Linked DNA regions of Rhinolophus ferrumequinum. The protein of the gene in region 1 interacts with the protein of each later gene in a pairwise test. Links are inferred from orthologs where the notes say so. Each region holds a gene or a part of one and is shown in the gene's direction. Other genes may lie near its edges. The genes, in order: ZC2HC1A and CASTOR1.

Evidence for each region.
Region 2: the proteins of ZC2HC1A (region 1) and CASTOR1 interact in binary tests that used the Homo sapiens proteins (3 or more experiments, as listed by UniProt). The two-hybrid records come from large-scale screens. The link is inferred for Rhinolophus ferrumequinum from reciprocal best matches to the Homo sapiens genes ZC2HC1A and CASTOR1.

Annotation. Positions count from the first base shown.
Region 1 is NC_046297.1:5,762,855-5,770,283, reverse strand, and holds the start of ZC2HC1A (zinc finger C2HC domain-containing protein 1A), read left to right. Parts: upstream 1-4,415; 5' UTR 4,416-4,516; coding exon 4,517-4,532; intron 4,533-7,429.
Region 2 is NC_046308.1:19,490,136-19,498,283, reverse strand, and holds the start of CASTOR1 (cytosolic arginine sensor for mTORC1 subunit 1), read left to right. Parts: upstream 1-5,033; 5' UTR 5,034-5,146; coding exon 5,147-5,259; intron 5,260-5,860; coding exon 5,861-5,931; intron 5,932-7,083; coding exon 7,084-7,271; intron 7,272-7,356; coding exon 7,357-7,489; intron 7,490-7,758; coding exon 7,759-7,885; intron 7,886-8,148. Other genes in the region: TBC1D10A (TBC1 domain family member 10A), read left to right, coding at 1-25, 112-177, 984-1,173, 1,266-1,420, 1,991-2,467. UniProt on the Homo sapiens protein: Functions as an intracellular arginine sensor within the amino acid-sensing branch of the TORC1 signaling pathway. As a homodimer or a heterodimer with CASTOR2, binds and inhibits the GATOR subcomplex GATOR2 and thereby mTORC1.

The DNA of each region.
Region 1 (7,429 bases):
TGACACCCTTGAAGACACAATTTGAGGTTCTACTTCTCTCTTTCAAGTGGTTCCACTCATGTAAATGTCTTCCTGAAACCAATTATTTTTATAATCTGTACCACAACATCTAAGTCTTAATCACATAGTGACTACATTGTTCTCTTTTGCTCTGTATCATGCCTTCCCCAGGGCTTTCTCTAGTAGTTGTTAGCTTCCGAGAGACTTCTCTGGAGCTTCCTGTTGGGCCTAGAAGCGTGCTGGGTACATAGGAGTATCTCAGTATTTGGATTCAGAGATTTCCAGTTGAGATTTGAAATTGTGGTGGCAAGGGATGGAGAGATGGGATCATAACTGAAGGTTGAAAACAATTATCCTTTTGCAGCTGGGAATTAGGTGTGAAAGTGGAGGAGAATAAAGGTTCCTTTTGGAATTGGAGTTTCTTTTGGAACTAGAAGAGAAAAAGGTAGAACAATGGCCATCACACTGTGAATGGAGTAGCCTTCCAATCAATGAAGGGGATGAAGTTTGCTTCAGGTTCCTCTATTTTTCCTTCTTTCGGTGTTTTCTTCTCCAGGACAATCACCAAGTTTTCCCTGAACACCTAAATAATTTTTTTTATACTTCAATCTACAAAATAAAGCTAACAAGAGCCAACTCAGAATGTGCTTCCTCAATCTAGAACAACTGTTCAACAGCTCCTTCTCCCACTTTTAAGGGAAATATCCTTCCTTTGTTTTTGATGAAAATTATCATTTTGTTATGATAATTAAATGTATGAGTTCATTTTTATATACTAAATTGTGGTGGGTTATTCCTCTGTGGGCTGTGAAAGGAAAAGATGCCCTCCACAGTGCAGTTGATAAACTGAGTTGGATTCTCACTGAGATTCAAATCTCATTCAGCTGTGCTCTGCAAACAATCTGAATGAGAGCCAAAGGTCTCTAAAAGGGAAATTGATCTTTGTGTAAGAAAAACAGGAGGTTGGAGCTTTGAAACAAGAAGATATGTGTAGCTGACTCAGCCCTTTGGAAGGTGCAGAAAAGATATTGGCTCCAGGGAATGGTGACTGAATGGAAAGCAATGCAAAGTGGAAAGAATTGGAAATATAATGTAAAAAGAAAAGGCTACAATATCTACGTCAGCTACTTGCTAGTCGTGGGATCTGGATTGACTCAGTAAACATCTTTGAACTTTTGCTTTCTTTTTTGTGTAAGGAGGTGGGAAGATCTCTAATTCATATTCATCTATGAATGTTATCATCAGCTAAAAGATAACTTGGCAGTTAAAATAATTATGAACAGATAAGAGCTTAAGAACACATAAGAGAAGAAAGTGAGGTTTCTTCATTTTGGTAACTGGCTAGTAATGAAAGGAGCCTGAAACATTATAAGTATTTGACAGATATTTGTTGAATGAATCCATCAGAAAAATGGAATATGTCAGAGAGGAAGTAAAGTCAGAATAGAGCGCCATGACCAAAGAGACGCTCAGGCATGTAGGAGGCAGAGGAAGGAATTTAGGAAGGCAGATAAGAAACTGTCCTCTTTACCCAGGGGTCAGGACTAGGAAAAAGCTGCAGGAGCCAGGGTACCTGTAGCATAAAAGTGCAGAGAGCCCAATACCTGTAGAGGAGGAAATTAGCAAGCATGGTTTAGAGAATTAAGATTCACAGTAGTGAGTTATACCTTAAAACAACATATTGGAACATTTGGATTTACATTTGAGGCACTTAAAAAGCAAAGTGAAATCCCATGAAATCCTTATAGGTAGAATCAGACAAACCAGAGTTTAAATCCAAGCTGCCATTCACTAGTGGTATAAATATTGGCAAAAAAAATAAAAAACAAAACCCACAAACAAAAAAAGTCTGAGAGATCTAGAAAATGAAGAATCTAATTCTAAAAAAGTGAAATTTATAGTATCTATTTGTAGAATTGTTTTTAAGATTAAATAAGTGAATCTATGAAAAAGACCTAAAACATCACTAATGTGATTTTTTTAAATTTGTTATTATCATTAATATTATTTTGCTGTTAATGTAGCTTTAATGCAAATAAGGTGCGTATCAGCCAAGTCCAAATTTGTCTTGACTTCAGTTCAAGAACTTGTAATTTGTAAAGTAAATTGCCTCTCCATTTTTGGGGTTTCTATATGTGCTTTTTTCCCTCCTTAGTGCTCTTTTTAAAAATCCCCTCTTACCCCAGTTCTAACTTAGTCCCAGCAACACTGAGGGAAAACGCCCTTTCCACACTCGGTCCCGGTGGCTAAGTCAGCCAGGATCTCCTGTCTCAGAGGAGCGGAACAACCAGAGCAGAACAACCAGAGCAGAACCAGGGGAAGGGCAAGAGACCACACAGGCATGGCTGAAGTTTTTCTTAAATAACTGTAGATAAGAGATGACCCATACCACATTCCAGTGCACTTAGAACACCTTCCCACTAATATCTGATGTCCCCCTCAAGTGTTTGTTTACTTGTTTATAACATCCTCATTTGAATGGAGAGTAGGACTCTCGCTTCCTAAAGGCTACTGTAAGATGCATGCTGTTTGTAAGAGTTATACTTTTAACAGTGAACAAAGTTAGATATAACGTCAAGACTTTGCAGTTGAACAGGGTAATGAGAAAAGTAACGTTAAGATTTGTTATGGAAGTTATATTAACGTTGATAAATTGCTGGTAGTTATACTAGAGTTAACAAACAATAGGGCTTGCTTTTCACTACATCAAATTGTCAAAGAAATTTAGTTCCCGTGAACTCACTTAGACTGTTAAGCAAAGGTTTTAGCTAGTTTTGAAGTTATCTTTGTCAACAAAAGGTTGCTGCCCATGTCAACAGGTGGCCGCAATCTGGGGTGCATTAAAAGGAGAAACTTTATTCAGAGGAACAAGTCGCAAACCGGAGAAATGCAGCCTCCACTGTAAATGGAAACTAGCCCCCCCAGAGACAAGCGAGAGGCTGCTTATATAAAGTGCCTGCCCCAATCCCTGATTGGTCCATTTTAATGCAAATGAGGAATCCAAATTTGCAGTTTGATTGGTCCATATAGCACTGTCCTGATTGGTTAAAATTGCAGGTCGTTATGGAGCAGCTGTGATTGATCAGTAAAGATGCAAATACAATACAGGTGAACAGCTACCGTTGAAGAGGTGGCTTCTCCCCAATACTAAGCTTGGGAGACCTTCATAAACAAGTCTAGACTCCAATTATGAATTTGGGCCCAGCTAACCACAAGGGCTAATCACAAGGCTTCCTTTTGTGTTTGTTTTTTTTAATTTTATTGGGGGACAGTGTGTTTCTCCAGGGCCCATCAGCTCCAAGGTGTTATCTTTATATCTAGCTGGGGAGGACGCAGCTCAGCTCCAAGTCCAGTTAAATCTTCATTTTCAATCTTTAGTTGCAGGGGGTGTGGCCCACCCTCCCATGCGGGAATTGAACCGGCCACCTTGTAGTTGAGAACTTGCCCTCTAACCAACTGAGCCATCCGGCCACCCCTCCAGAAGCTCAGCCGCAGCTGGTTGTTTTCAATCTAGCTGTGGAGGGCGCAGCTCACTGGCCCATGTGGGAATCGAACCAGCAACCTTGTCGTTCAGAGCTCATGGTCTAACAAACTGAGCCATCCGGCAGCCCCACCGCATCCTTTTTGGCAGATAGAGTCCTTTTGGGGTCCACACCTTCATCCCAATGAGTTAGGACTCTAACCGAAACAGGCCTCATCCGGTCATGTGTAGGTGAATTCCGCCCTGTAGCTCCCTGACCAAACTTAGGTTTGGGGATAACCTCATAGAAGGGGAGGCTGGCAGGCTGTTCGAGGTCAAGGGTGATACAGTAGACAGCCAAGGTAACCCTCTGGTAGATGAAGATGACGGAGGCCTGCGTTTCCCTCACGTTTGGCCCCAGCTCTCATGCTGAGGAAACCGTTTTCATGTGCTCCGGGCAATCTCAGTTCCACAGTCCCAAACAGAAAGTGTGATTTCTGGGAGGAAACGGTGGTTTAACTCCGAAAGCTGCCACCGTACAATCTAGGGAATACACTCAGGTCAGGTCACGTGACCCACGGGCGCAAAATGGAGAGTGTGCCACAGACAAGTGTGCAGGACTTGCTGCTGTTTTGCTTGTTGGCTTAAATAGCCCTGAGGCAGAGACGGCCCCACGGAGAAGAATTGCACGGACTGCTTGAGGGACTGGCGATGCGGAGCCCCTGAGGTGCTGAGCTAGTCTGAACAGGATCATAAGGTGTGAGGCCAACAAGGCCGCACTGGAACAAAGGCGCTGTCGGGCGGCAGGAGGCCCTCGTAGCGCTGGGGTTTACCGGGAGGAGCGCCGCGAACGCTCGCAGCCAGGAGGCAGGGCGCCTGCGGCGACTGGGGACGCGCCTCCCAGGCCCCACCCCTCCGAAGCCCCGCCCGCGTCGTGTCGGCCAATAGGAGCCCGGGATGTTAGCGGGTGGGAGGTGCGGTCGGGTTGCCACAGCCAGAGCTGGGCGGTGGCGGGTGCTGCTGGAAGAGTCTCGCAGATTCTGAGTAGGTGGCGCGATGGAGGGACTGGAAGGTGAGGAGGTGAAGGGATGCGGGCCGGACAACTGGAGCAGGCCCGTAGCAGTTATGGGGCCCTCGACACCGGTACTAGGCAGGCGATGGCAGCTCCGGAGCCGAACCACGCGGTGCCTCCGGAGGCCCCGGTCGGCGGGAGCCGGACAGCCCCCGACGCGGTGGGGCCAGTGATCCTCAGGCGGGGATCCCCGCCTAGGACGGTCTTCGGCTGAGGTTTGCCGCCCGGATCCTGATATTGCCTCTGGCACACGCCTGCAAGTCCCTCGCGACCATATTCAGGTCTTGCTAGATTCCTGAGCGTCCTATCACAGCTTCTGGCCAGATTTGATTTTCCTTACAAAGTGGACTCTCCATTAATGTCCGCGGCCTCCCCACCTTCAGTGTTTGCTGGGGCCTTAGGGTGTGTCTCCAACCTCGAGCTTCCCACACTTTCCTTGGCCAGTTTCCCTATGTAACCGTTTTTCCATTTCTACAGCATCTTCTGTCGGAAGGATGCCAAGAGCGCCTTCCAAGGAAGTGTCACTGACCAGCTCTAGAGCCGGGACAATAGATTAACAGGAGGATTTAAGGGCTTATTTACCACCACTGTGTAAGGAAGAGCCAGCATTGATTCCTTATCTTTCGGTTTATCCTTCTGCTGTAACCATGACTCCAGATTTTGCTTTGTTCCCAGGCTTTTTCCTTTTCTCTGTTCTCTGTGCGCATTTTATTCTGTGTAATAGAGCATTCGACCAAAAACAACAAAGGAAAAAATACCCAACTAGCCTTGGCATCAACAGTTTCAGATTCTTTTTCAAGTTATGGTTACTCCTTCGATGAAGAATAAGCCTGCAGAATTGAAAGATCTATTGTCTCAATTTAGCTGTTTCCCCCCTCCTAATTTACATAGATTCAGGTGGAATTTAGAATAAGCAGAGGCATTGAGCCACTAGACGTTATTGCATGCTAGAGAATAAATTATTTCAGGTTGTGTTATGAAGTGAAAAGTAGTAACTGGTAACTTTTTGCAGTGACCTAAGCTCACCAAAAAGCCAATAGAATAATGAGCATGATAGTATTTCATGCTTTTGTGCCGAGGTGAAGTTCTCATTAGTTAACGCCTTGAAGATTATAGATAATCAAGAATTCTGATACTTTTCTATTTGTGGGCAGCTGCACTTTTTATGACACGTGGGTCTTGTTTTTTTTGCTTATTTAATGTATTTTAGGCACATCATTCAAGTTTCTATGAAATAAGAATTGTAATGATAGTAATTCTACTTTCAAGATAGTTTTGTTTAGAAGACTCCTGGAAGCGGCTTTTTTTTTTTTTTTTTTTTAATCTTTGAAACGTGGTATTATAGCATAGTGGGTAGGAGCATGGGTTCTGGAATTCTCCTAAGGTTATCATAATACACACAAAGTGCTTTACAACACTCTCTGCAGATTTGTATTCAACGTTTGTAACTAAGGCAGAGATCTTCATTTGATTTTTTCACTTACGTATGTTAAGCACCCAAAACAGTGTCTGACACAAACTAGGTACTCAATAGATATTTCTTGTTAGATAAATGACTTTATTTGTAATGGGCACTATTCTTGGCTCTGGGGATGCAGCAACAAATAAAAAAATCAAAGCCCTGCTCTCATTGAGCCTATGTTTTAGTGAAGTTTATATTTTAGCAGTGCCAAGAGATTACTATTGAAATATTACTAAGAATGCTTTTTAAAATGTAATGGAAACCTATTACAATACTCAATTACATGGGTGGAGAAATACATGAATTCTGATGTAATGTGGTATGTTCTGATGGACATGTTTTATGGGCCCAGCTTGTGATGCAGCATGTTAAACAGTACTTGCTCTTTACTCTTCGTTTGATTTTTTCTTTTTTTGTTAACAAGGTGAGTTGCTGTCATTAACTATATGTTTAATTGTAATGAATTAGGTTAACATTTTCCTTTTTGGAGAGCAAAACAACTGAATATTGGTAATTTCAAGTAGTTTAATAAAAGCTCAGAGTTTTTTTGTTGAAGTTAGGACAGTGCCTTTCTTTCTTTTTCCTCTTTTAAAATCAGTCCCTGTTAAGTCAGTTTGCAAAGATTAAAACTCTGAGCCTTAAATTTACCATTTAGTAATTCATCTGTGATTTTATTTAATAAACATTGGTACAATGATAGATAACTTTTTTGCCCTGTTGGAAGTTCAAGTCCAGTACTTTGAAGGTATCCAATAAACATTATTATCTCAGTATCCAGTAGAAAATCTTCAGGAGTTTGCTTAACATGTCGTAGTAGTTGAGCAAATATTGCACCGTTTGGCATTACACTCATGTTTCTAGTTGAAAATGGTTACCAGGTTAATCTTGATTGTAAAACTAGAAAGTATATAAACCCCTGAAAAATTCTATTGAAGGTTATCATACTCTTTCTTACAACTTTATTTCCATGTAGCTCTTATGTCACTTATATTATTTTTGGTCTTCCTGGACCTTTATGCTTCCTGGATAGTCAAGAAATGAGCTATTAGGCTAAACACTGTATTTCAAAAGCAAATGATTGCTTATGAATTTGTATAATCTGTATCTGAACACCTTGCATTGTGTGGGTAATTAGAGCAAAGCCTTTAATTTCTTTACACCTAAAGCTATATGTATATAGCTTTATAGGCCTATAGGTGTATCTAAGGGCAATGGAAGTAGTTGTAGACTTGGGAGAGTTCTAATCTCTCTTAAGATTTTCATCTGTAAAATGAGAGGTGATAAACCCTAAGGAGATTTTGTCCAGTGTTTGTGTGTGTGTAGGAGTACATAGGAATGTGTGTGTGTGTGTGTGTGTGTGTGTGTGTGTGTATGGCATTGACGTTCCTTTTATAACACCATAATAAGTGGTTATTAACAATTGTGACAAACCATC
Region 2 (8,148 bases), on another chromosome or scaffold:
CCTGCTCATGCACATGCCCGCTGAGGTACCACCAGGCCCTCATCTGCGGGCAAGGGGACGGGCGGGCGAGGAACACCCAGCAGCAAGACCTTACATCTCTCTCGCCCACAGCAAGCCTTTTGGTGCCTGGTGCAGATCTGTGAGAAGTACCTGCCCGGCTACTACAGTGAGAAACTGGTGAGTGCTTGCTGGGCCCCGGACCCGGCCTGGGACCTCCCCCAGGCTGGAAACCGTTTGCGGCCTCTCCAGTCCTGTCGCTCCACAGGCAGTCCTGCTCTCACTGGAAACCTTCCCAGCCTCCTGTTGCTTTCAGGCTGAAGTCCCCACGCCTGCCAGGGTCAGGTTTCCCAGGCTCCAGCGTCATCAGTTCTGCTCTTGCCTCCATCTCAGCCTCCAGCCATCTGGCCATTCGGAAGATCTCCGTTCCTCCAGAACACCCAGTTCCTCCCTGCCCTGGCCTTGACATAGGCTTACACCTCTGCCCCTGTCGTCCCCTTCCTTCCTCTGATAGCTCCTCCTTTCCCTCCTCTTTCTGCCCTCAGGGAGCTTCCACCTGTCAGGGTCTAGTGGGGCACAGGTGAGGGAAGTAGGTGACAGAGGCACCTGTCATCCCTGCCACGCTTGGCCTTTCCACAGCCAGCAGGATCTGTTCTGTGTGCTGAAGGCCTACACGCTCTACCAACCTGAGGAGGGACCCTGACAGGTGGAATCTCCAGCACGTGCTCATCCAGTGTTCCTGTTCTTGCCATGTTCTGGGCACTTAGTTCCCCCCCACCCCCATCCCCAGTCTTTTTGCTCCTGTGACTCATGTCTGTCCGCCCCTTTTCACTACATGCTCACGAGGAGGACATGCTGTCTGCTCATCCTTGTATCCCAGCGCCCAGCACAAGGCCGGCCGCCTGCCTGGTGCTGGGGGCCAGGGCGTGCATAGTCCGTCTCCTGGCTGCTGCTGGCCCATGGTCATGGCCTCACTGTCCCCCCAGGAGGCGATCCAGCTGGATGGGGAGATCCTCTTCTCGCTGCTGCAGAAGGTGTCCCCCGTGGCCCACAAGCACCTCAGCTGGCAGAAGATCGACCCGCTGCTCTACATGACCGAGTGGTTCATGTGCGCGTTCACCCGTACCCTGCCCTGGAGCTCCGTGCTGCGCGTCTGGGACATGTTCTTCTGCGAAGGTACCAGGCTGAGCTCGCGGAGCACCCCTGCCCCAAGCCCAGCCCACAGGAGCAACTCCCTAAAGGCCCCCTTGCGCTCCTTCCCCATTCAGGAGTCAAGATCATCTTCCGGGTGGGGTTGGTGCTGCTGAAGCACGCGCTGGGCTCCCCCGAGAAGCTCAAGGCCTGCCAGGGCCAGTACGAGACTATCGAGCGGCTGCGGAGCCTCAGCCCCAAGATCATGCAGGAGGCTTTCCTGGTCCAGGAGGTGCGGCCCACCCCTTCCCCTCAGCACCCGGAGGGAGGCGGGGACATGGGGGCCCTTTGCAGGGGAGCCTGGTATCCCTCTGCCCCTGAGCGGGAGTCGCTGGTGCCAGGCCCAGTGCACAGCAGCCCAGGATGGTGGGGGCGGACCTCATCCCGCTGTGAATAAGGGGGCGTAGAGAGGCCTAGGTCTGTGGGGCCTTCCCTGTTCTGAACCACTCGGGAATGAGAGGGAGCTGCAACCAGTCACCCCCTCTTCCTCCCTGGTACCACATCCACGGCCTTGGCTTTATTTTCCCTTTTTTCTTTTGTGGATTTTTGTCTCTCAGGGGCTATAATTAGGTAACACACCGTTAGGCAAGCGGAGCCATGCGGCACGGGCAGCTTGAGGCAGTGGGTCTCAGGGCCTGGCTCACCTGTACTCGACTCTGGCCTGACGACCACCTCAGGGACCAGACCTTCATTCAACCTTTAGTAACAGGATGGGGGAGCCTGAGGCAGAGCAGCGGCCCTGGCTGGGAGGCAGAGGGGGAGGTTCTTCCTTATGCCCACCTGTCTGTCGTCGCCCCCACAGGTGATAGAGCTGCCAGTGACAGAGCGCCAGATTGAGCGTGAGCATCTCATCCAGCTGCGGCGCTGGCAGGAGACCCGGGGTGAGCTGCAGTGCCGCTCCCCGCCCAGGCTGCATGGCGCTAAGGCCATCCTGGAGGCAGAGCCAGGCCCCCGGCCCACCCTGCAACCTTCACCGTCCATCCGCCTGCCCCCAGATGCCCCCCTCCCTGGCTCCAAAGGCAAACCCAAGCCACCCAAGGAGATCCAGAAGAAGCAGCAGAAGCAGGCGAAGGCGAGTGGGCAGCTGGACAAAACTCCAACCCCAAGTCAAGCCAAGGTGGTGCCCGCTGCGGGGGATGCACATCCCCCACAGGATTTGCCCCCAAAGGACCCAGTCCACCAGGACCCAGGCCCCCAGGACTCAGCTCCCCAGGATTCAGCCCACCACCACTCCCACGAGAGCCTGACATCCCAGGAGAGTGAGGACACCTACTTGTAACCCCGGCAGCTCAGGCCTCCAGAGCGGGGTCTCAACACACACATGGTTCACAGACTGACATTCCAGGGCCTGCCTACCCTCGGGGGGGCGCTTGGGGGGCCCGGCTGCCTGGCCGCTGGGCGTAGAGTCTGGCGGGCCCAGCACAGATTCTGCCTGAGCCTCCTTATTTATTATCTCCAGAATGGAGCTTGGGCCGGCCCTGCGGGGGCATGCAGAAGTGAGGGCCTCACTCAGGCCCCTCCTCCTGGGGGGTTGCTCCCCAGGGCTAGGGCACTGGCATGAGGGGAGAGGGTGGGGTAAAGGGTGGGGTGCTCTTTGTGTAAATAGAAACATGGTTTTGTACAGAAATAAACAGGCTTGAGTAGAGAGCTGGTGTGCAGCTAGGAACTGGGAAGGGAGTGCCACCCCCGGTGCCTGAGCCTCTCTGAGAAGTATCCTTGCCAGGGGGGATGTCAAGTCCAGGGCCAGCCCCTGTTCCCCTCACTCCATCCCTGTGCCCCGTGCCCACCATCTGCCATGGGTAAGGGTCACCAGGGCCGGAGCCCAGTGCTGGGGCAAAGCAGGGTCTGCGCCAGCGGCAGCCTTGATCCCACTCGTCACTGATGGGGAGGAGCTCTTTAAGGGTCTTCCTCCTCAAGGCCTGGCCTGGATGCCACTTTGGACCCCAGTAAGGTTCTGAGTGTTCATTCTGGGTTGGGTGCTGGTGCCAGGGTGGGGAGACCACGAATGCTCTCACATGTTCAGCCCAGGAGGAGAAGCGTGAGAGGAGAAGTCCGGGTCTTTGATAGAAGGCCGCCTGTCATTTACTGAGCACTTAACGTGCCACATGGGACTGGTTGTGTCACCAGCTGATTGGGTACGCTCTGTTATTATCCCCATTTGACAGATGAAGAAACAGGCGCTGAGTGGGAAAGGTGAAGCTGGTGCAAATTTGCACCCAGAGCCCCTCAGCTACCTCTCCCGACCAGGGTGCCAGGTGACTGTCATTGAGGGTCCAGGCAGGCGCTATGGTCACAACCTGATGACTGGCGAGGGTACGGACAGAGTGTCCCTGGGAGAGGACCCCTCCCTTCTGCTGAGGAAGCAGCTTTTCCAGTCAAACAATAGTGGCTGTTCCTGGCAGGCCACCAAGCTGGGCTGTGCCATGGGGGGAGGGGACAGGAGAGGGAGGAGTAGAGTCTCCCTAGGAATTTTCAGGCATCCCAAAGCCTTCAGCCTGGGACACCTTGTCCTGGTACAGCTGGGGATACTGAGGCCTGAGGAGGTCAAAGTTCACATAAGCCTGTCCAGGCCATCCACTTCCTACCTCCCAGCCCTCCCTCCTGTGGTTTCCCATCCCAACTGTATCATTGATAATTGAGGGGCTCAGCCTTTGACGGTCCCCTCCCCCTGACCCTCCAGGGGACAGCCAGGATGTGGCAGCTGCACAGTGTTCCACATGAACCCTCTGAGCCGGAGTCCAGTGGGGGAAGGCACTGCCCCGTATCCACCCACCTACAGTGGAGGCTCCTAAGCAGGCAGGAGGCCTGTGCAGGCCTGCTTTAACCTGCTCCGTTCAAAGCCGCAGATCTGAAGCTTGAGAATGTGTTGCCCAGACAAGTGTCCCCCAGAGCATGCTCGGTCTTGCTACAGGGGCAGCCTCGGTGTGCGGATGGCTGCTCAGCCTTGGGGTCTTCAACCTGAGGAGGCCTGAGCAGAACCCAGTCCCCACGTTGAAACGAGCCCAAGTTGGTCCTAACAAGCCTCAGATCTGGGGCATCTGCCAGCACTGGGGGCCTCCTTGGGCATGAAGCAAGTTTAGATGTGCTCAGGCCGACTGGGTTCTACTAATGGCCGCAGGCTTTGGGAGGCCTCAGCAGGGCTCAGTTCTCAGGTCTGAGATCTGACTACCCTGAAGTCTGGGCCTTGGGCATTCCTGGCCCAAGCACTTAGTTTTGAGGGGCCGCCTTAGGCCTGACCACCTTCACGGCCCTACCCAACAGTAAGTTGCTCAGACAGAGGTGGATGGGGCCCTTCCTATCTCTGTGACCCTAGTGGGGAGTCTTCTATGAGAGGAAGGAGAAAGGCACCAGGATACTTTATTGGAAGAGAATCACAGGGTTGCCAGGGCTGCAGAGCGCACCCCTACCCCTTCATGCCCCAGCGGTTTGGGGGCAACACTCTGGTCCCAGCTGAGCCCCGGTTCACCTCATGGCCCTTCCAAAGCCTCAACGACCTCAATCATAAGGCCCAGATGGGGGCCCAAAGGACGTAACCCCACATTTCACGCAAGCCTCCCATCCCAGCCTCGACCGGTGGAATGGGCGGAGCCCGGAGAGGGGGCGCGGCCCGGCCGGGTCTGGAGGACTCGACCGGGATGGGGTCAGCTGGTGATTCCCTAAACTAAACCAATGTTAAAGGGGCGGAGTCATCCGGGGCGGGGCTCGGTGGACTAGAGGAGCTGGGTGAGGCTCTGGCGTTAGAAGGAGGCGTGGCCACCCCGGATAGGCCGCGCGTCCCTCAGGGCGTGGCCGTCAGGGAGCAGGACGCGGCGAGGGACTGGGCGGGTTCGGGGAGTAGCGGGCGGCGTGGAAGCGGCCGCGGAGCGGCTCCTTTAAGCCTCCGGCGCCGCCTCCCCCGCCCCGCCCCCGGCGCGGCCTGGGTCTGGTTGGCGGCGGGGTCCGGTCCGCGCCGACCGCGATGGAGCTGCACATCCTAGAGCACCGGGTGCGGGTGCTGAGCCTCGCCCGCCCCGGTCTTTGGCTGTACACGCACCCACTTATCAAGCTGCTATTCCTGCCCCGCCGAAGCCGGTGCGCGCCCGGGTTCCGGGGCACAGATTGGGGTGGGCTCCACTGTCGCTTCGGTACGGGGTCGGGAGATTGTAGAGTCGCCACGAGGCGAGCTGGGGCAAGCGGGAGCGGGCGGGGAGTGCTCTTCCACCCCACCCCCCGGCCGCCATCCGGCCTGTGCTTACGCTCCCTGGGACCGCCGCCTATCCGGGGCCAGTTAAGGCGCAAACAGCCGTGGGTGTGCAATGCTTAATTTCGAGTGGTGTCAAATGGGGTGGGGGTATTCCTTCCTGGCGACTGCGAAGAGTTTCTTCCAGACGCCTCCCATCGGGTCAGAGGGGCCGGTCTAGGGGACCCAAGGTCCGACGCCCCGGGGCTATCGCTGCGGGTGAGCCTCTCCTCCCTCCTGGAATGGAGGGGCGGGGGGCTCCTGCGAAGTTCAGGAGGCGGAAAACAGTTCGCTATTCAGAAGTTGGGTCCCACACCCCACGGCCATTGGGAGAAAATTGAGGCTTGAGGGGGCTGGGAGGAGCCCGGCGTGGGTCTTTAGGGGCGGATGGAGCGAAGTCTACCTGCCCCCTCTGCCCAACCCAGACTGAAGATTCCCCCCACCCCCAACCAGGTGCAAGTTCTTCAGCTTGACGGAGACTCCCGAGGATTACACGCTCATGGTGGACGAGGAGGGCTTCAAAGGTGGGGGCTGGGCTAGGGAGGGATGTCGCGCTCCCCTCTTTGGGGAATTCTCACCAGATGCTGGGGTCCAGTGTCCCAAGAGCTGAAGCCTCGAAGGCAGTTTGATCTGGGTTCTTACCTGACTCCGCTACTCACTGGCTGTGTGACCTTGAGCAAGTCACTTCCCCTCTCTGAGCTGTTGTTTCCTCTTATGTAAAATGGGTTCTGATTTAATAGGGTCCCATAAGGGCTTTATAAATGGGCTGTGTGTGAGGGCCACTTAGCAGCCCCAGACCAGCAGTAGGCCCTCAATTATGCTTGTTGGCAAGAATCAGGGGTTCCTATGGCTGTTATATCTCCCTGGCCATTATTTCCCCCTGGACTTCCCTCCCTGGTTCTGGTCATTCCCTCCGGGGCTGGTCTGGAAACTCCAGGAGTCTTAGGGTTGGGGAAGGAATGCAGGAGCAGGCAGCCAGCCCAGGGCAGGGTCCTGAGGGGCTTATGTTTGAGCAATTAGCAGCCACCTTGGCCCAGGTCCCCTGTTCTGGACTGGACGCCAGCCTGGTCCTTCTGGCCCCATGGAGCTGACATCTGGCTCCCACTCCTTCCAGCCTGACCCATCTTCACAGGCCTGGAGTCTCAGGCCAGCCACCGGGAGCTTGGTCCATCACCCACTGCACTGCTTCAGGCCTTAGTTTCCCTGTTTGTACTGCAGCCAAGTTTGGTTTAGTTAAGGGGAAAGGACACCCCCCAGCCAATCCATTCTGGTGGCGCCCCCTCGTGGTGTCACGTGGTATAAAGCTTCTGTTAACCCACAGAACACTGCAATGAGGTACATACAGTCATCCCATTTTACAGATGAGGAAACTGAGACTGAATCATTTGCACCAGGTCAACAGCAAGTAAAAGGTGAAGCTGGGATTTGAACTCAGGTCTGTCTGAGTCTGGAGCTCAGATCTCAACTGGAAGGTTTCAATCCCTGGCAGGACAGAAGCTGGAGCACATCTCAGTCCTTGCATACACGCAGGTGTCGAGAGCAGAACTTGTAGAAGGGAGATAGCCCCAGTCTCCAGACCTGACCTTACCTTGGTAGAGCACTTCAAGGCTCAGGTAGGGAAACGGGCAGGGGCCAGCCCTGCAGGCTTTGACTGGTCATGTGCCCTGTGCCCACAGAGCTGCCCCCATCCGAGTTCCTGCAAGTGGCTGAGGCCACATGGCTGGTGATGAACGTATCATCCCACAGCGGCACAGCAGTGCAAGCTGCTGGGGTCACCAAGATCGCCCGCTCCGTCATTGCACCGCTGGCCGAGCACCACGTATCTGTGCTCATGCTGTCCACTTACCAGACAGACTTCATCCTGGTGAGTTTCCCACGGGGCCGCTGTCAGGCAGGGTGGGCATGGGTGCCCGGGGACTCATGTGATGTGCCATGTCCCTGCGGCCCAGGTGCGGGAGCAGGACCTGTCTGTGGTGATTCACACGCTGGCCCAGGAGTTCGACATTTATCGAGAGGTGGGCGGGGAGCCTGTGCCTGTTGCCAGGGATGATTCCAGCAATGGCTTTCCCCGAGCTCAGCATGGTGAGGGTGCCCTCTGACACCAAGACCTGGGTGGGGAGTGGGGGCTCCTGTTCTCACTGGGGCCCTTTGCTTGTGTGGGTGAGTCTGTGTGTAGGGGGAGACTAGCTGACAATGATTGCTTCACAAGACCGGGAGGTGAGGCTGGGAAAATCAAGGCAGGTTCCTGTAGAGGACTGTACACCCAGCCCAGGCCCCTCCCTGGCCGGCCACCAGGGGGCACCCCAGCCCATAGTCCTGTTTTCACCCTCCACCTCCGGATTCCTCCCTAGCAGGGCCCAGCCCCACGGTGCATCCCATTCAGAGCCCGCAGAACCGTTTTTGTGTCCTTACGCTGGACCCTGAGACGCTACCAGCCATTGCCACCACCCTCATCGATGTCCTCTTCTACTCCCACAGGTGGGCCTCATTTGTACTTAGTCTCGTCCTCACATTATTGTTCCCTATGGTCTGTCCCACCACCTTCTACCTGTCCCTGGGTTCTGCACCTCTGTGCCCTGTTCTGTGTCTGGGTTCCCAGCAGCCTGAGATGCCCACATGCCCTTCACTGATGTTTAGGAAAAGTCCCAATGCTGCAGCTGGAGCCCTCTCCTGGAGTGTGGGAGAAGCCACCCCCAAGCCACCCCCAAGCCGTGACCCGGTCAGGCCCCCTGGCCCTGGGG